5 linked regions of the Macaca mulatta genome follow. The protein of the gene in region 4 binds, or shares a complex with, the protein of the main gene of each other region. Links are inferred from orthologs where the notes say so. Each region holds a gene or a part of one and is shown on either strand. Other genes may lie near its edges. The genes, in order: TAF4, TAF10, TAF11, TAF6 and TAF7.

Evidence for each region.
Region 1: TAF6 (region 4) and TAF4 share a complex: the UniProt entries of both Homo sapiens proteins name them as parts of the TFIID basal transcription factor complex. The link is inferred for Macaca mulatta from reciprocal best matches to the Homo sapiens genes TAF6 and TAF4.
Region 2: TAF6 (region 4) and TAF10 share a complex: the UniProt entries of both Homo sapiens proteins name them as parts of the TFIID basal transcription factor complex. The link is inferred for Macaca mulatta from reciprocal best matches to the Homo sapiens genes TAF6 and TAF10.
Region 3: TAF6 (region 4) and TAF11 share a complex: the UniProt entries of both Homo sapiens proteins name them as parts of the TFIID basal transcription factor complex. The link is inferred for Macaca mulatta from reciprocal best matches to the Homo sapiens genes TAF6 and TAF11.
Region 5: TAF6 (region 4) and TAF7 share a complex: the UniProt entries of both Homo sapiens proteins name them as parts of the TFIID basal transcription factor complex. The link is inferred for Macaca mulatta from reciprocal best matches to the Homo sapiens genes TAF6 and TAF7.

Annotation. Positions count from the first base shown.
Region 1 is NC_133415.1:114,859,618-114,863,707, reverse strand, and holds the start of TAF4 (transcription initiation factor TFIID subunit 4), read left to right. Parts: upstream 1-1,248; 5' UTR 1,249-1,319; coding exon 1,320-2,673; intron 2,674-4,090. UniProt on the Homo sapiens protein: The TFIID basal transcription factor complex plays a major role in the initiation of RNA polymerase II (Pol II)-dependent transcription.
Region 2 is NC_133419.1:59,170,864-59,174,022, forward strand, and holds TAF10 (transcription initiation factor TFIID subunit 10), read left to right. Parts: upstream 1-1,290; 5' UTR 1,291-1,302; coding exon 1,303-1,534; coding exon of another isoform or gene 1,535-1,549; intron 1,550-1,672; coding exon 1,673-1,827; intron 1,828-2,042; coding exon 2,043-2,107; intron 2,108-2,191; coding exon 2,192-2,306; intron 2,307-2,483; coding exon 2,484-2,573; 3' UTR 2,574-2,621; downstream 2,622-3,159. Other genes in the region: scaffold protein ILK, read right to left, coding at 2,884-3,033. UniProt on the Homo sapiens protein: The TFIID basal transcription factor complex plays a major role in the initiation of RNA polymerase II (Pol II)-dependent transcription.
Region 3 is NC_133409.1:147,392,311-147,395,962, forward strand, and holds part of TAF11 (transcription initiation factor TFIID subunit 11), read left to right. Parts: intron 1-1,955; coding exon 1,956-2,104; intron 2,105-3,652. UniProt on the Homo sapiens protein: The TFIID basal transcription factor complex plays a major role in the initiation of RNA polymerase II (Pol II)-dependent transcription.
Region 4 is NC_133408.1:47,425,449-47,429,672, forward strand, and holds the start of TAF6 (transcription initiation factor TFIID subunit 6), read right to left. Parts: upstream 2,828-4,224; coding exon 2,593-2,827; exon of another isoform or gene 2,559-2,592; intron 2,258-2,558; exon of another isoform or gene 1,778-2,257; intron 1,548-1,777; exon of another isoform or gene 1,413-1,547; intron 1,386-1,412; exon of another isoform or gene 1,371-1,385; coding exon of another isoform or gene 1,297-1,370; intron 67-1,296; exon of another isoform or gene 1-66. Other genes in the region: CNPY4 (protein canopy homolog 4 precursor), read left to right, coding at 2,648-2,762. UniProt on the Homo sapiens protein: The TFIID basal transcription factor complex plays a major role in the initiation of RNA polymerase II (Pol II)-dependent transcription.
Region 5 is NC_133411.1:150,152,915-150,157,197, forward strand, and holds TAF7 (transcription initiation factor TFIID subunit 7), read right to left. Parts: upstream 2,812-4,283; 5' UTR 2,080-2,811; coding exon 1,030-2,079; 3' UTR 520-1,029; downstream 1-519. UniProt on the Homo sapiens protein: The TFIID basal transcription factor complex plays a major role in the initiation of RNA polymerase II (Pol II)-dependent transcription.

The sequences.
Region 1 (4,090 bases), on a different chromosome or scaffold from region 4:
CTAGCAGTCTCCTTTGCTACAACAATTAAAAAAATCATTTTCTATGTCAGCAACGTCATTCATCGTCCCGAGGTCTCTGCTTATTGCGGCGCTGTCTTCAGCTGCGAAGACTGATCCTGCGGCCTCTTGTCCCCAGTGAGGTCCGAGGCAAGGAAGCGTCTCTCTGAAACCTATTCTGGGCTCTTAGAAAGAAATGGGAGAAAGGAAAACCACTAGAAATGTCCAATAACACCATCTTTTGGTTGGAAAATAAAACACGCAGAAAGAGGGAACTGGAACTTTTACTGAAGTATTTCTAGAGAGAAGGTGCTTGGGAACATTTTAGGTAACTTACTCCCCTCCCCCAGCAGAAGGTAAAAAGAAAGCTACTTCCAGACTTGCCAGCTCGGGAACTTCGTTTGGCGCCTGGCAGGCACCGTGCTCTTACCTACGGGCTTATAATGACACTCCCGTCTCCAAGGCAGCTAGGTGCGGGTACAGTCACCCCGGGGCGGCTTAGTTTATTGATTAAAAATGGAGGGAAGGGCCAGGGGTGGTCACGATTGGAGGGCGAGAAGAGCCGTGCGCGCAGGACCCCTCCCCACCGCCCGGGACCGGCTACCCAGGGGCGGACCCAGCTTCCTTCCCCGCGGCGGCTTGGAGGGGCCGGGCGCCGGTCCCCGTCCTCAGGGCGCGCTGCGAGAGCCCCGTCCCCGTCCCCGCCTGCTTCTCGGGCCCATCCACTCCGGGGCCTGCGCGCTGCCCGGCCGGCGCCCCGGCATCCCCGCGCGCTGCTCCCCGGGCCTCGGACGGGCCCTGCACCTCCGCTGCCACCGCACAGGGCGGCCCGCCCGGCGTTCCCGTCAGCGCCGCCGCAGCCATTTTGGAGCGAGCGGAGACAAAGAGCGAAGCCCCGTCGCCGCCCCGCGCTCGCCTCGGCCCGGCCCGGCGCACCGTCCCCGCATCCCGCGCCCCGCCCGGCGGCCACCGCCCCGCCCTGCCCGCCACCGCCCCGGCTCCCGCGTCCCCGAGCTCCAGCCCCCGCGCTTCCCGCCGCTGCTACCGCGCCCAGGCCGACCGCCCGCGCCCCGGCCTCTAGCGCTCGCAGCCATTGGCCGCGCCTTTTAAGTGCGCACCGCAGCCAATCGCCGGGCGCCCGCGGTCTCCGCGCCTGCGCAGGAGCGCCACCCCCGCGCCCCCGCCCCCCGGCCGCGCGCCCCCGCCCCCCGCCGGCCGCGCGCCGCCCCCCGCCCGCCCAGCGCCCGCCCCACTCGGAACCTCCTCCTCGCCCAGGCGCGCTCGGCCCGAGCGGCGGCGGCGGCGGCGGCCGAGGAAAAAAGATGGCGGCGGGCTCGGATCTGCTGGACGAGGTCTTCTTCAACAGCGAGGTGGACGAGAAAGTGGTGAGCGACCTGGTGGGCTCGCTCGAGTCGCAGCTGGCGGCCAGCGCGGCCCACCACCACCACCTCGCGCCGCGCACGCCCGAGGTGCGGGCCGCGGCCGCCGGCGCGCTCGGGAACCATGTTGTGAGCGGCAGCCCGGCCGGAGCCGCGGGCGCAGGGCCGGCCGCCCCCGCCGAGGGCGCGCCCGGAGCGGCGCCGGAGCCGCCCCCCGCAGGTAGAGCGCGGCCGGGGGGCGGGGGGCCGCGGCGCCCGGGCCCCCCCTCACCGCGCCGCCCCCTTGTCCCCGCAGGGCCCGCGCCGCCCGCCGCGAAGCTGAGGCCGCCGCCCGAGGGCAGCGCGGGGGCCTGCGCCCCGGTGCCCGCCGCCGCCGCCGTCGCCGCGGGGCCCGAGCCCGCCCCCGCCGGCCCCGCCAAGCCCGCCGGCCCCACCGCGCTGGCCGCCCGCGCCGGCCCCGGCCCCGGCCCCGGGCCCGGCCCCGGCCCTGGCCCTGGCAAGCCCGCCGGCCCCGGCGCCGCGCAAACTTTGAATGGGAGCGCCGCGCTGCTGAACTCGCACCACGCCGCCGCACCTGCTGTCAGCCTGGTCAACAACGGGCCCGCCGCGCTGCTGCCGCTGCCCAAGCCCGCCGCCCCCGGCACTGTCATCCAGACGCCCCCCTTCGTGGGCGCCGCCGCGCCCCCCGCGCCCGCCGCGCCCTCGCCCCCCGCCGCCCCCGCGCCCGCCGCCCCCGCCGCCGCCCCGCCCCCGCCACCCCCCGCGCCCGCCACCCTGGCGCGGCCGCCCGGCCACCCTGCCGGACCCCCGACCGCCGCGCCCGCTGCGCCGCCCCCTGCCGCAGCCCAGAACGGGGGCAGCGCCGGGGCAGCCCCCGCCCCCGCCCCGGCCGCCGGGGGCCCCGCGGGGGTCAGCGGCCAGCCCGGGCCTGGCGCGGCGGCTGCAGCGCCAGCGCCGGGGGTCAAGGCCGAGTCGCCCAAGACGGTGGTGCAGGCGGCGCCCCCGGCGGCGCAGACCCTGGCGGCCAGCGGCCCGGCCAGCACGGCTGCCAGCATGGTCATCGGGCCAACTATGCAAGGGGCGCTGCCCAGCCCCGCCGCCGTCCCACCGCCCGCCCCCGGGACCCCCACCGGGCTGCCCAAAGGCGCGGCCGGCGCAGTGACCCAGAGCCTGCCCCGGACGCCCACGGCCACCACCAGCGGGATCCGGGCCACCCTGACGCCCACCGTGCTGGCCCCCCGCCTGCCGCAGCCGCCTCAGAACCCGACCAACATCCAGAACTTCCAGCTGCCCCCAGGTGAGTGGCCGCACGGGGCGGGAGGGAAGGGCGGGTCCAGCAGCGCCAGCTGCCAGTTCCAGGAAGTTCTCCGCTGGTGGAATGCTAAGGTCATCTGTCCCGTAGGCCCGTGGCTGGAGCAGGCCGAGGGGCAGCCTCTACCCAGGTGCGGGGCCAGCCCGGGTGGCTGCCTGCGAGTGAGCCAGAGGGAGTCGGCATAGTCTGCGTCCCTGTCGCTGTTCCAGACGTCCGCGGTGGCTGCCTGTGGCTGGGGCTGGTCTGTTTCAGAGTGGCTCAGCCAGGACTCCTACTGGAGCGGTCCTTACCTGCTCCCGCCCTGTGTGCCCCTGCCCCGGTTGGAAGGCTCAGCGCAGGGGCTCCCTGGGCCAGGCGATGGGGTCTGCAGAGCTGAGGGCAGAACCTGGAGGTGCGAGTGGCAGCAACTGTCCCCTGCTCAGTTCTGCAGTTAGGCGTGTGGCCTGTGTCCCCACTTAGCCTTTCTGCCCCTTTGTGACCCTGGGCTTGAGCCTCCCCAGTCTCCAGGCGAGGACGGGGGCACGACACCCCCTCCTCGAGGCTCGGGAAGTCGGGATGGAAGGCTTGGGCTTCCCTGTTGGCCACCAGGAGGGCAGAGATGTCGGGCGCACCCTGCGAGAGTCCTCCCGGCGCGCAGCCTTGCTGAGAGCCATGCTCTGGAGTAGGGTTTCAGCACCGTGTGTGTCACCGTCTCTTCCAGCGCTGCGTTGGTGCCTAAAGGAAAGAGCGCCCAGCTAGTCTGGTTGCTGCCCCCTCGGGAGGGCAGTGGGAGGGCGGTGGCAGCAGATGCTCTCGCTCCGTGCAGGGGTCTCGGGGTAATACTGGCTGTGCTGCGGATGCCTTGGGCTCAGACGCCCCTTCTGCCTGGCAGTACTCACGCTCTTGGTCTAGTCTGCTGTCTCTGCGACTCCTCAGGGCCCCTCAAGTTTGACGGGAAAGATTGCCTGACCAGCATTGCACGCTAGGCTGCTTTTGTCTGGGGCTCCCCATCCCTCCCCAGCCGCCTTGGTGGGTGCTGGGCAGGGGAGCTCCTCCCCGGCCTGTGGTGACGCGCGCCATGCAGTTGTAGCAGCTCGGTGGCAGCAGTAGTAGGAACTTCGAGGAGAGCGTGGGTCTTTTCTGTGTCCCCTCTCTGAAGGGAGCTATTGGTCACTTTGAGAGGTTTGCAGCATCTTCAGAAGTGAAAGGTTTTCCTGTCCGAGTATGTGAAGTTCAGGGCTGGTGGTCAGACTGGACAGGGCGGGGGTAGGGAGAGTCTGTCTGGGAGACCGCTAGGCTGCAGTGCTCCAGGGAGGAAGAGGGCTGAGAAGCCACTTCTCCGGGGTTGCTGAGACGCCCGTTATGACAAGCTGTTGGAGTACTGAAGCATTTGTAGGGATGTTTCGCCAAAGTCTTGGTTTTG
Region 2 (3,159 bases), on a different chromosome or scaffold from region 4:
GGCCACTTGGATGAAAACCCTTCAAGGATTACTGGATAGAGTTCAGGCTTTTTATTTTCTTCCCCCAATCATAGCTCACAAACCTTCGTTGCTATTTGTTCCTAAGTAACAAATCATTTTTCCTCCTCCCTCCCCAAACCCCAAGGAACTCTCACTCTTGCTCAAGCTGTTCTGTCCCCTTAATACCACCCCTGATACAAACTGCCTGGTTAATTTCCAGAATTCTTACAAGATTCAGCTCAGAAGTCACCTTCTCTCGTGAATGTTTTGATTCCCTGAGGCTACTTCATTTTGCTATGGCTGAAAAATCCTAGATTTTCTAAACAAAACCTGTTTGAATCTTGGTTCTGATATGGACTGGGAGAGAGACTGGGTCAAGCAAGTTTATCTCCCTGAGGCTGTTTCCTCGTCTGTTAAGTGGGAATATTACCTGCCTTTCCTAATCACCAGGGAATAAAGTGGAATAATGTTGATAAGAGTACTTGGCACCTGGAAGTAGGTGGCAGATGTTAATGCCCTTCCTCCCTTGCACTGCGACCCCTGTGTCTACCTCTAGTATTGTAACGACCACATAGTATTGAAATAGCCACTTTACTTGTCTGGCTTCCTTTCCAAGACCGTTGGTGCCTAAAGGACTAGAATCGTGTTCTATTTAACTTTGTATTCCCAGGTCCTAGCTCAGGAGTTGGCAAATAAGAATTAAATATCTGCTACATTGAAAATCTCACGCCTTTCACTCGTTGTGATTTTTGCATACGTTGTCGACTTAGGCTGAAACCCCTCCTCCTTCTACAGCAGCACTGTGGGCCGCCCCACTGCTGCCCCCACCTCTCGGGGCAGTTGGTGGAGAAGGGCGGGGGGCTTTCCAAATCCACTATGAATCCTTACAAGGCTGAATAAGGGAACTTGAAAGGATGCAGACAGGCAGGCAATCCGTAGTCGAGGGATGTAGGGCCCATAAACCTCGAAGCAAGGTCTTGAGCGTCAGACAGAATGAGGTGTCCCAGAGCGGCGGAAGAGTCCCGGACGCACGCTGCTTCTAGTCTCGACGGAATCGCCACCGAGCACCGCAGAGGCTAGGGCGGAATGGCGACGGCAGCGCAGTTCGCCAAGGCTTGGTCTCCGCCCTTCAGCCTATTTCCTCTAACCCGCAGACCCACTACCAGAGGAGGCGGGGAGCGGGCTGGAGAGCACTAACAGTGACAGGCGGGGCGAGTCGAGGGCGCGTGACGTCACCCCGGGGTGTGCGCGGCGCGAGCGGAAGCGGAAGCGGCTCTGTTCGCCGCCTCTCCCACCGGCCCGATGAGCTGCAGCGGCTCCGGCGCGGACCCCGAGGCGGCGCCGGCTTCCGCCGCCTCGGCCCCGGGCCCGGCACCCCCGGTCTCGGCTCCCGCAGCGCTGCCCGCCAGCACCGCTGCGGAGAACAAGGCCAGCCCCGCGGGGACAGCAGGGGGGCCTGGGGCTGGAGCAGCTGCTGGGGGCACGGGACCCTTGGCGGCGCGGGCCGGGGAGCCAGCTGAGCGGCGTGGGGCGGGTGAGGGCCTGACGGGTGAGGGCGAGGGAAGCGTCTGGGACTGGGCCCAGCGGCGGGTGAGGGCAGCGGGTATAGACAGACCTCGCTGGGGCCCTGCGCCTCCCACCTCTGTGTCTCATTTTGCTGGTTCTCCTCCAGCTCCGGTGTCGGCGGGTGGCGCGGCGCCCCCAGAAGGGGCCATGTCTAACGGGATTTACGTACTGCCGAGCGCGGCCAACGGAGACGTGAAGCCGGTGGTGTCCAGCACGCCGTTGGTGGACTTCTTGATGCAGCTGGAGGATTACACGCCTACGGTGGGCTTCCGCCCGAACAAGGCCACCTAGCCTGCTGTCACAACTTTCAGCCACATCTCCGTGCTTTTCAGCACCCTCTGATGTTTGCTTCCGTAGTCGCTCTTGTTTTTGCCCTCTGCTCACCCAAATCGTGAGCTTCCTGATAACCAGGTCTATCCGACATTTCCCTCACCCTCATCCCACTCTGCTGACAGTTCTCTTAATTGATTTCTTAGATCCCAGATGCAGTGACTGGTTACTACCTGAACCGTGCTGGCTTTGAGGCCTCAGACCCACGCATGTGAGTAAACCCAGGGCAGGTTAGTTTTGGGTGCTTGTGCAGTGTGTTGTCCATCTCCTTCTCATCTAAGTTTTTTCTCTCTAGAATTCGGCTCATCTCCCTAGCTGCCCAGAAATTCATCTCAGATATTGCCAATGATGCCCTACAGCACTGCAAAATGAAGGGCACAGCCTCCGGCAGCTCCCGGAGCAAGAGCAAGGTGTGAGGGGAGGCTCATTGAATCACTAATTACCTTCCACAACAGTGGAAGCTTATCCTGCCACCCCTTTGGGGAAACTGAATCCTAGGGGAGGTGTAAAACTTACTCAGGGTCACCCATCTGGGATTGAAGTGTGGGATTCCTGTGCTCAGTTGGTGCTCTTCCCTCTTCCCTCAGGACCGCAAGTATACTTTAACCATGGAGGACTTGACCCCTGCCCTCAGCGAGTATGGCATCAATGTGAAGAAGCCGCACTACTTCACCTGAGCCACCCAACCTAAATGTACTTGTCTGTCCCCATGTCCCCACACCAGCCTGTTTTCATAATAAACTTTATTGTGACAGGCGGGGCTGATCCCTCCCATGTTGGGAGACACCATGTGGCAAGTGACAAAGCTCTGAGCCCGCCCCTTTTGGGGCCACAGTGGTAGGGATGGGGGAAGGGGATGGACCCCATGGCTGGGGTAGTACCATGACTGGAGGCAGGGGAGGCAACCAGAGGTCTGCTGCTTTGGGGAGGTACATTCCCCCAACCATGTCCTGACACCTCTGGAGTTCAGGCAAGGGCCTTCCGGTCCTACTTGTCCTGCATCTTCTCCAGGATAGGCACAATCATGTCAAATTTGGGTCGCTTTGCAGGGTCTTCGTTCATGCAGATCTTCATGAGCTTACACACATGAGGGGAAATACCTGGTGGGATGGTAGGCCGAAGGCCTTCCAATGCCACCTGTGAATACAAGAAAAAACTGAGCCTCACAATTTGAGTCTGTCATGTAGAGAGAAGCCACTGGCCCCTGGGACAGGATAACTGTATATCCGAACAAATATGGGAGGAGCCCAGGCCCACTACAGT
Region 3 (3,652 bases), on a different chromosome or scaffold from region 4:
AAGTAGACACTAATGAATTAGCACATTAAAAAACATAAATGATAAAATTAAAACCTGATTACTTAAAATGTAAATGTACATTACAAAATATGAAAGGCTATAGGCACTAATATGGAGATCTTTAAAGCTATAAAAACATTTAATGTTCAAGTTTAGGCCAAATAAATGGGAAAATCTGAGAAAAACAGGTGAATTTTTAAAGAAAATACAAACCACCAAACTTGAAGCGCAAAGAAGTTAGAAAACTTGTATAAATCGGTAAGTAAAAAGAAATTGAAAGGATTGTCAAAGATAGACTACCTTAATCCCATCTATTCCCATATTCCTGTATGAGTTTAAATTTGAATTCCTCTTTAGGAACAAGTTAAATCTCAATGAGTTTTGTAGTATACTTACGATTCTACATTAAGTCAGAGGGGGTGAAGTTTGGATTTGATTTTTATTGTTATAAACAGGCAGTTTTTTAAGTTTGGGGGTGCATGTGCAGGATGTGCAGGTTTTGTTACATAAGTAAATGTATGTCATAGGGGTTTGTTGTATAGATTATTTCATCTCCCAGGTATTAAGCCTAGTACCCATTAGTTATTTTTCATGATCCTTTCCCTCCTGCCACCCTTTACCCTCCCATAGACCCCAATGTGTGTTCCCCTGTATGTGTCCATGTGTTCTCATCATTTAGTTCCCACTTATTAGTGAGAACATGCAGTATTTGGTTTTCTGTTCCCGCATTAGTTTGCTAAAGATAATGGCCTCCACCTCCATCCATGTCCCTGCAAAGGACATGATCTCCTTTTTTATGGCTGTGTAGTATTTCATGGTGTATACTGGAAAATACATTTTCATTATCCAGTCTATCATTGATGGGCATTTAGGTTGATTCCATGTCTTTGCTATTGTCAATAGCACTGCAATGAACATACGTGTGGATGTGTCTTTATAATAGAACAATTTATATTCCTGTGGGTGTATACCCAGTAATGGGACTGCTGGGTCAAATGGTAATTCTGTCTTTAGGTCTTTGAGGAATTGTCACACTGCCTTCCTCAATGGTGAACTGATTTATACTCCAACCAAGAGTTTAAAAGCTTTCCTTTGCCTCCACAACCTTGCCAGTATCTGTTATTTTTTGATTTTTGAATAATAGCCATTCTGACAGATATGAGATGGTATCTCATTATGGTTTTGATTTGCATTTCTCTAATCAGAGATGCTGAGCTTTTTTTCATATGATTTTTGACCACAGGTATGTCTTCTTTTGAGAAGTGTCTTTGCCTACCTTTTAATGGGGTTTAAACAGGCATTTATTAAACATCCAGCATAAGTAAAATTGTGTTAAATGCTGATGGGGGAGAGATATAAATAATAAGAGACAAATCTATCTTCAAAAAGACTAGTAATGTGAAATAAACATTTGCATGAAACAGTAGGATTGAAGGATAAGAACAAAAGAGCACTACCTGTGAGAAGCTCACTTGAAAGTCCCAAAGTGAAATAAACACTGTTTTAATGAGAAGGGGCCTCCTTTTTAATATTCTTTCCATATGGAATCATCAGCAGTAAAGAGATCTGTAGATCTAGAAGCAGAAGAGCTGGCTGGATGGAGGGGACTTTGCTGACATCCCCTCTAAAGAATAAGGTCAGAAGAGCGGGCCCAGAGGGAGGGCAGTTTTCATGATCCTTGGCATTTCATCACCCTCGTAAACAGATACTGGAGCTGTGCTCATAGCCGAACTGGAAAACTAGATTATTTAGCAGGTTTTCTTTCCACGGCTGAGCCATAATCTTCCCTTAGGAGAGATACTGTATCTTATCCTTGATGGTACAGTCAGTGCCTAAAACTGAAAAACTACTCAATAAATGGATTTGTTGTTTTGTAATAAGGATAATGCCTTCTCACTTTGCCCAAGCCTCGAAAGTAGGCCAAATATGTAATAGAGTTTCTTTCATCTTCCCAGCCCAAGAGTCAGGATGTCTCAGATTTAACAACAGTTGAAAGGGAAGACTCATCATTACTTACTCCTGCGGCCAAAAAACTGAAAATAGATACCAAAGAAAAGAAAGAGAAGAAGCAGAAAGTAGATGAAGATGAGATTCAGAAGATGCAGTAAGTCACTTTCTTATCATTCCCCATTTCAAAGCTCTCACTTGACCACACAAATTTAATAAATTTTTCTTGGTATTTAAATTTTCTTTTATAAACTCAAAAGAAAATAAAACGATTAATACATTATGGCTGGGCATGGTGGCTCACGCTTATAATCCCAACACTTCAGAAGGCCAAGGTGGGAGGATTTCTTGAGGTCCAAGTTTGAGACCAGCCTGGGCAACATAGTGAAACCCTATCTCTAATGTTATGTTACAGTACGTTACGGTGGTTTTTTTTTTTTTTTTTTTTTTTTTTTGGGACAGAGTCTTACTGTGTTGCCCAGGATGGAGTGCAATGGTATGATCTCAGCTCACTGCAGCCTCTGCCTCCTGAGTTCAAACAATTCTCATGCCTCAGCCTCCCGAGTAGCTGGGACTACAGGCATGTACCACCATGCCTGGCTAATTTTTGTATTTTTAGTAGAGACAGGGTTTCACTATATTGGCCAGGCTGGTCTTGAACTCATGACCTCAGGTGATCTGCCCGCCTCAGCCTCCCAAAGTGCTGGGATGACAGGCATGAGCCACTGCGCCCGGCCTCTATTTCAAATTTTTGTTTGTTTGTTTTTGAGATGGAGTTTCGCTCTCATTGCTCAGGCTGGAGTGTAGTGGCAGGATCTCTGCTCACTGCAACCTCCACCTTCCGGTTTCAAGCGATTCTCCTGCCTCAGCCTCCCAGGTAGCTGGGACTACAGGTGCCCGCCACCATGCCTGGCTAATTTTTGTATTTTTAGTGGAGACAGGGTTTCACCATGTTGGCCAGGCTGGTCTCGAACTCGAGACCTCGTGATCCGCCCGCCTCGGCCTCCCAAAGTGCTGGGATTACAGGCCAAAAAATTTTTTTTCAAACAATTATGTTACAGCATAGAAAATATAAATAGATAAAAAGATGTCCGGGAGCGGTGGCTCACACCTGTAATCCCAGCACTTTGGGAGGCTGAGGCGTGGGCGGATCACCTGAGGTCAGGAGTTTGAGACCAGCCTGGCCAAGATGGTGAAACCCCATCTCTACTAAAATTACAAAAAATTAGCCAGGCGTTGTGGTGGGTGCCTGTAGTCCCAGCTACTCGGGAGGCTGAGGTAGGAGAATCACTTGAACCCAGGAGGCAGAGGTTACAATGAGCCAAGATTGCACTACTGCACTCCAGCCTGGGCAATAGAGCCAGACACTGTCTCAAAAATAAATAAATAAAAATAAATAGATAAGAAGAAAAAAGAATCACCTTACCACAGAGATATATCCTGCTTATGTTAAAAGTTTCAAGATAGTTTCTATACATATATATCTATGAATTGTTTTTTTCACAAATGTCAAATACTGTTTCATAGCCTATTTTTCACATTAGATATGATGAATGTTTTCCATGTCACTAATTATACATCTAGGTCATAGTTTTCTTTTTTTTTTTTTTTTTTTTTCTGAGGCAGAGTCTCGCTCTGTCGCCCAGGCTGGAGTGCAGTGGCACGATCTCGGCTCACTGCAAGCTCCGCCTCCCGGGTTCACGCC
Region 4 (4,224 bases):
ATGTGTCACTGCACTTCAGCCTGGGTGACAAAGCAAGACTCCTTCTCAAAAAAAAAAGACAAAATCCTTATAATGTCCCACAAAGCCCTTCAAAATTTGCCTTCTCCCCATTATATCTCTGATCACTCTTCCTTCCTTCTTCCACTTTGATCCAGACACATATGTCTTCTGGCTGCTCCTTAAACTTGCCAGGCATGCACTTAATAGCTTTTGCTCCATTCCCTCTGCCTGGAATGTTCTCCCAAATGTCTAATTGGCTGCCTACCCTGACCACCCTATTTAACTCTGCAGTCTGCCCTCAGAGTGGGGGCAGCCCACTTCTTCTTTTCCGTAGCATTTAACATCTTCTGAGCCTGGCGCGGCGGCTCACGCCTGTAATCCCAACACTTTGGGAGGCCGAGGCCGGCAGATCATGAGATCAAGAGATCAAGACCATCCTGGCCAACATGGTTAAACCCTGTCTCTACTGAAAATACAAAAATTAGCCGGGCATGGTGGCATGCGCCTGTAGTCCCAGACACTCGGGAGGCTGAGGCAGGAGAATCGCTTGAACCCGGGAGGCGGAGGTTGCAGTGAGCAGAGGTTGCACCACTGCACTCCAGCCTGGCAACAGAGTGAGACTCCGTCTCTGTCCACCATGTAAACAGGGCTCTTCTCTTTTTTTTTGGAAATAGAATTTCACTCTTGTTGTCCACTCTTGAACTCCTGACCTCAGGTGATCCGCCCACCTTGGCCTCCCAAAGTGCTGGGATTACAGGCGTGAGTCACTGTGCCTGGCCAACAGAGCTCTTTATTATGTTCACTGATGTATTCCAGGAGCCCTGGGACATCATAAATATTTGTGAAGTAAATGAATTAGTTGTAAGGCTTAGAGATGTTGGTGCTCAGTAAATACTTGGTATCACTGTTATTAATAGGTCATAGGCCCAAGCTTTGAGCCTACACTGTAGTTAAAAGCAAAGTGGAGCCAGGTGCAGTGGCTCACGCCTGTAATTTGGGAGACCAAGGTGGGAAGATCACCTGGGGTCAGGAGTTCGAGACCACCCTGGCCAACATGGTGAAACCTTGTCTTTTTGTAAAAACACAAAAATTAACCAGACATGGTGGCGGGCGCCTGTAGTCCCAGCTACTCCAGCTACTTGAGAGGCTGAGGTGGGAGAATCGCTTGAACCCAGGAGGTGGAGGTTGCAGTGAACCGAGATCGTGCCACTGCACTCCAGCCTGGGCGATAGAGGGAGACTCCGTCTCAAAAAAAAAAAAAAAAAAAAAAAGCAAATTGGAGCCAAGAGAGGTAGCTCACCCCAGCACTTTGGGAGGCAGAGGTGGGAGGATCGTTTGAGGCCAGAAGTTTGAGACAGACTGGTCAACATGTGAGACCCCCATTTCTGCAAAAATTAAAAAATTAGACGGGCGTGGTGGGGTGAACCGGTCATCCCAGCTACTTAGGCGGCTGAGGCGGGAGGATCGCTTGAACTACTGAGGAGTTGGAGGCTGCAGTGAGCCAAGATGGTGCCACTGCACAACAGCCTGCGCAACAGACGGAAATCCTGCCTCAAAATAAAATAAAATAAAATAAAATAAGTGGCACACTTGGAGCTGGACATTAGGAAGATTAACATCAATACTGTTCAGGAGTAGTACAAGTAGGGTGGGGCCGTGCTGGAAGGATGGGAAGAGGGAGGCCGAAAAAGAAATTAGTTCTTTTCAAACCATCCCTAATCTCCTTCCCCACTTTTATAAGTCTTATCTATAGGAAACACAATTATTGGAGACATACTCTGTGCCTGGCGCCGGGTTTACAAGAGGCGGTCGTGTCCCACTTCCCTGGCGAACTCCTACGAATCCTTCAATACCCGGCGGTACCCTCTGCCAGTAAAGGCTCATAAAACACGCTACAGTCACAGGATCTCCTCAGATCAAGTGGAGGCGGCAGGAAGGCGTCCCAGGGGAGGGTTAACTTGAGCGAGATCCCAGCAGAGAAGCAGGTCGAAGATCCCCGGGCAGCGCGAAATGAGGCTCAGAGAGTCCACCCCATCTCCTGCAACATCTCTCCTATGCAGGCACACACACGGGGTCCCCACGAGCACAGACACACAACCAACCGTCCTCTTTCCAGTCCCCACAAGGGACTTTCAAAGGGTCTCCTCCCGGGTACCACTCAGACCCGCCCCGGCCAGCCGAGCACGGGCAGCAAGAAAACTCTAGCCGCAGCCGGGACGCCGCTCAACCGGCGCTCGGCGCCATCTTGGCCCCGCCCCCTCCTGGAAGCAGGTCCTGGCAGAACCGAAGAGCAAGTCACTGCCCCTTCCCCGTGCCAGAATAAGTCCTCTAGGCTTACAGAATGAAATTATATTTTAAAAATTTGTTTCTACATCTACATATAAGGACCACTCCCTCTTGATGTAATTAGTGTAATTTATTCCTTCACTACCCGGCTGCCAGGACCTTCAAGAGGCGCCACAAAACGGAGGCAGGGAAACCCGGAGCAACGAGGCCGCACCCCTGTTGGGCTGATCTTGCGCATGCGCCGATCTTGCCAGGCTGGATTTAAGGTTGCCGCCAGCCGCTGGGAATTTAAAGGACCCACACTGCCTCTCCGAAGTTGGTTTGAAGGCAAGCGGTGGTTGTTTGTGGACGGCGCTTTGTCATGGGACCTGTGCGACTGGGAATATTGGTTTTCCTTTTGGCCGTGCACGGGGCTTGGGCTGGGATGCCGAAAGAGGACGACGATGACGCAGAACGCTTGCCCAGCAAATGCGAAGGTATTTGAAGGGGGTAGCCCCTGTGGGCATCGCCCGGCCACACCTCCTTCTTCTAGGCCGGACATCCTGGACTGTATTGGGTGGGTCACCCGACCTCCTTGAAGGCTTGAGGGAGGTTCTGGTGGAGCTTGGCTGAATTTGGATGGGGTCAAGGAAGCGAACGTGTAGTGCCACCTCAAAGCTGCATCCAGAGAGAGCCTGCATTTTTTTGGCTGGCTTGGACACCCCCGCCAATGGATTGTGGGAATTGTAGTTCAGGGACCATCGGCCCTGGACTGCCAACTTTTAGAGCATCTTCAGTGCGTGTTTGCCTCATGTCACCAGACCTTAATCTGCAGAGACTGCAGGAGCCGGGTGTGAGGCTCAGGCCTTGTGGACATCCGCTGCCCTACCCTAGCATAGACGCTCCCAAATTACAGGCCCCACGCCCCCCTGAGGGGGTTTGAGGGTGAGTAACTCAGCCTTTGAAGCTCATAAACAAAAGGAGGCCGTACAAGTAGGAGAGGTTCCCCATCCGGTGAGACTTTGCAGACGGTGCGTACTATATGGATTTTTCAGCAAGCAGCACCTTCCACAGCTGCACTAGTGTGGGGCCCATTTGAGAAAGGGGACTGGCCCTGATGCCCTAGTTTGCTGCCCTCCTGACTTTACGTTTCTTCCCTGGATTCTTTTTCTCTTCTCTTCACCCCCACAAAACTGTATTTCAGTATCATGAAAGGCAGTCATGATAGTCTCATGACTTAGTCCTCATCTCTGTCTCCTTTCACCTCCGTGTCCCGCTCTTCTCCCCTGACTTGTCAATCTTTTTAAACAGACTTAATCACCTAATTGTATCAGTCCTTGCTTTAACACCTCTGCAGGCCTTCTATCGGAATACAGCCAACAGGCCTGGGCACAGTGGCTCACATCTGTAAACCCAGCACTTGGGAAGGCCAAGGTGGGAGGATCACTTGAGCCCATGAGTTCAGGCCCAGCTTCACCATATCTTGTCATCCTTGGTTTATCTGTCCCAACTACACTGACAGAGACCTGTAGATAGAGATAATAGGTTTTATTGCTGTTATATTGTTAGTATGCATACAGAAGGAGCTCAATAAATAACTGCAGGATAACAGTGAATACTTATACAGTACTCACTATGTGCCAGCCTTTATATATGTTGATTTAATCCTCATCACACTCCTATGAGGGACATACTATTATCCCATTGTATTTATTATACACACACACACACACACACACACACACACACATATATATATATATATTTTTTTTTTTTTTTTTTTTCTTTTGAGACAGAGTCTCATGCTGTTGCCCAGGCTGGAGTGCAGTGGTGCAATCTCAGCTCACTGCAACCTCCGCGTCCTGGGTTTAAGCGATTCTCCTGCCTCAGCCTCCCAAGTAGCTGGGATTACAGGCGCCCACCACTATGCCCAGCTAATTTTTGTAGTTTTAGTAGAGA
Region 5 (4,283 bases), on a different chromosome or scaffold from region 4:
ATTAAATTATCTTTAAAGCATGAGAAATTTGGTACCGACTTACTTTATGAGCAATTTTGATGAAATGACATTGATAAATGACCTCAGTTCTCAGATTATTAATTATAAGAACTCAACTGAAGAAAAATAGAAATAAAATCTTAATCCAAACCAATGGAATGATTCATTGGACTGCACTTGATAACCACTGCTTTGTTTCCAACATTTTGTGCAGGTAGATTTAGTAAGCTTTTTAAAAAAGGCACAAAGGCCTTCATCTACAAAAATTAGGGTAGTTTAAGAAAGCTCTGTATCTAATGTTTCCCAGCTTTCAAGTAGATCAGATAGAACTGGAATCTTAATATGATGCAAACATGACAATTCCCAATTTCTTTACCCCTGCTGTGTTGCTTTTTTTCATAAACCAAACTGCCTCTACCTGCAGAACTGGATCAAATTTCTTAGTCACTAAACTCCACCACGAAACCACCTCAAAAGGGACCTGACTCCCACCAACCATGAAAGAACAAGATACACTACAAAGTGAAAAACAGATGCTTTTATTTATTGTATTGTAAACAACTTAATAAAATTTGCATCTCTACATATGGGAAACTGCTTTGAGTAACTGGGAAAACAGCTATTGCATGGGAAAACATATGCAAACTAGCATCACTGTCTCTAGACTAGGTTCTTCTTATTGATCTCATGTCATCATAAGGCAGCAACAGCAGCTTCTAGAAAATGGAGAAACAGCAAAGTCCTGCAGTGGAGCTATAATTAAGGTTGAACCATACATTCCACTAATCCTGCAACTTTCCTACTATCATTTTTCTGCCTATACAATCCTGCTTCTTATAGGATGAACACCTAGCAAAACAATGTAAATTTGCTGAAAAACAAAACTATAAACAAATGAAAGAACTTAACAGAACACACAGCATTAGAGGGACTAGGAAGTGCAAGGTGTTAATATCCAGTACAAGTAATAAAGCCAAGAATTTTCTAATGCTGATCAGTCTGAACACTGAAATTAAGAATCAGTTCTTTTTACTTCTCTAGGAGTGATTCTAGCTCTTCTTGCAAAGAGCTGAGTTGCTCCTTTTCTCGGTCTTCCTTTTGTTTGAGCTCATCCAGTACAGCCTGAAATCTGTTCTTGAGAGCCAGATTTTCCACTTTCATGATGAGATCCTCTTGTCGTTTTGCCCTGTCCTGGGTCTCTTGGAGCTTGCCTTTCATGTTGTCAATCTGCTTCTGAATTCCCATAACCAGCTGATTGGTTCCCTCATTTTCCTGGTGCTGTTCATCTGATTCATTTAGCTTGTCCTGTAGTTGTCTCTCCAGATCTTCCTCAGTGTCAATGATGTTTATATCTTCTTCATCTTGATGCTGGGTCTCATCTTCATCCTCACTGCTGCTGCTGAGGTCATTGAATATCTCCCGAAGCTCATCATGTTCTAATGAGTCATGGCCCTGCCTGTGACCAGACATTCCTGGAGAAGAGATATCCAGGCCTTGATTTTCTGCCTCCTTTGTTTCATCTTCAGCAATTATTTCCCACCGAGTACTAACAGCTTCAGCATCTGTACTCAGCAATCGTTTCACTTCTTTTTCCACATCTGGAGATTCAATATATTTCTTCTTTGCTGTCTTCCGGAACCTTCTCTTCCTGACATTCTTCAGAGGCAGAGTAATTCCGTGGTTCCAGATAAACTTTTTCTCTTTGTCCTTATCCTTTTTCTTGCTTGCTTTAGGATCAGTGCTAGCAACTGGCTCCTCCACAGGTGGATAGAGATCACCATCAACTGTGGATACAAGCATCTGACAGATATCAGCTGTCTTGTAAAAGGTTTTCTTATCAATGGTTTTCAAGCTTTCCATAACACAGGGCAGGTCTACCAATTTTGAGGCCAATGGAACACGGTCCACTCTGACGATTCCATGACGCCCATCAGGATGTAACTCAATTGTCAGTCTGTCCTTGAGGTTGACATGACCAGACTGTACTGCTCTTCTCACAGTAGAGGCATATTCTGGAGGCAGACGTAAGATAAACTGGCTCTCCAGTTCGTGAGGAGCATCATCTTTGCTTTTACTCATTTTTATTTCTTTGTGACTCACTTCTCCAATAAATGATGGTTACCGTAAAAAGTTCCAGCTACTGCAATAGTTTAAAACACCAGTTCGCTATGAATTGAAATATTTTAATTACAAGAAGTTCTCTGTAGATCAGCAGCTTAGCGTCTATTTTGCCTTCGTTTTTATTTAAGCTCCAAGTCTTTTCTCTAAATATGCTGTGACCAAATACCAGTCGTTAACACAAAGGCTTATTCACAGACTTAAGTTCATTAAATCAGATGCAATGCCAAGTCCCAACCTCTAGGTGCCGCTGCCCGACAACGCGGAGACAGCTACCTAGCTAAGAAGCAGGAAAGCAAATGGCGGCTCCCGCGGAACGGTTTTCGGCCCAGAAAGGCCAGCAGAGATACTCTCAATTTACAAACTCTCCCGGAACAGACACTCAAAACATCAGGGCTCAGTGAGCTCTCTTCGCCTCGGGTACTTACAATCCAGTGACGATTATAAGTTCAGTTTCACCGGGCCGGAGCGAAGGGAAGAGGAGGCCGCAAGGAGCAAAGCGGGAGGCAGCCAAGCGTCTCCTTGTCGTTTCCTTAATTCTTCCTGCCGCTTGGCAGAGTGATCCACTATCGATTACTGATGAAAGCCCAGGATGGGCAACGCGAAATCTTGCCGAGAGGCGCAGCTCGGAGAACCAGACCCGGCACCTCGCCGGCCCTCCGTTCGACCGCTTGCCCAGAGAAAACGGAAGTGCTACGTCACGACGCGGGGCGGGAGGTGGATGTGAGTGACAGCCCCTCCGGCCGGAAGGGCGGAGCCCCGGCGCGCGCAGGCGCAATAGCGCAATTACGCTGCCCAGCGTGAAACTCGTCTTTTCGCGAGAACTTGCTTTTCTGGGATGAAAATGATAGTGTTTTCGAAGAGCTGTTGGTTTCAAACTATTTAGCGCTTGGAAGTTACAAGAAAGACACGGATTCGTCCCCCGCTAAGCCAGCACTTTTAAGGGATCGCTGTGGGGCCGGATGGCTTCTAGACTTCCGGGTGATTCCGGGAGATGGGGGACGCCTGGCAGTAAGCGTCTTTGCTTCTGGAAACATCTCGGATGCTTCCTAGGGTCTAGCCAATCTGGTGCCAATACAAGAATGTGTAGCTACTATACAATGGATTTTAAAGAACCCAAATCAGTGGAGTGAGGAGGACATGGAGCTCACTATATAATTCTAAACCTCTCTTTGTTTGTTTGTTTGTTTGTTTTGGAAATGGAGTCTAGGCTGTCACCCAGGCTTGAGTGTAGTGGCACAATATTGGCTCACTGCAATCTGCACCTCCAGGGTTCAAGCGATTCTCCTGCCTCAGCCTCTTGAGTAGCTGGGATTACAGGCACCTTCCACTACCCCAGCTAAGTTTGGTATTTTTAGTAGAGAAGGGGTTTCACCATGTTGGCCAGGCTGGTCTCCAACTCCTGACCTGAGGTGATTTGCCTGTCTTGGCCTCCCAAAGTACTGGGATTATAGGTGTGAGCCACCGTGCCTGGCCCAAAGTCTATATTTTGTTTAATATAATTCCCTGTAGGGGAATTGTGCCTCTGGGTTTCCTTCTGTTCTGTAATACTCCTGAGGAAACAAGGGTGATTCCTTTTTATATGCTTGATTTAGATGTAAATGTAAGCAGAGAAGGAAGTGTTCTTCTGCAAGCACAGGTTCATTTTGGACAGAATTGTCTGATAGACTGAGCATCTGGTTAAAGTAGACATAATTGAAGTATTGTTTCCTGCTTCTCATGTACAAGTAATTTTAAATACTTTGACTTTTTTTTTAACTCCACCTCTACTATTTTGCTGTTTTGTGCTTGTCTTTTCTTTGGAGGGTCAGGTATTCATCAACACATATTTTTAGTATTTTGACATAACTGGGTAACAGTTGGTACTTATTTCTATTTATTTCCATTTATTTTTAAAATATCTGGTAGAGCATCAAGGCCATTAACATTTAATTTCTATCCTCTAAAATATTACCAATTGCCCCTAAATTTAAGAGAATTCTCTTAAGATGTAATTAACATTTCCAAAATTCACTTTATTCCTGTATGATTGAAAGCTCCATGATAGTGATCTTTTTCTATCCTGGTCATTGTGTCCCAGTGCCTAGTACCAGAACATGGGAGATACACAAAAAATATTTGCTAATTGAATGAAAAAATTGATCTATCTAGAAAGATCATAGTCT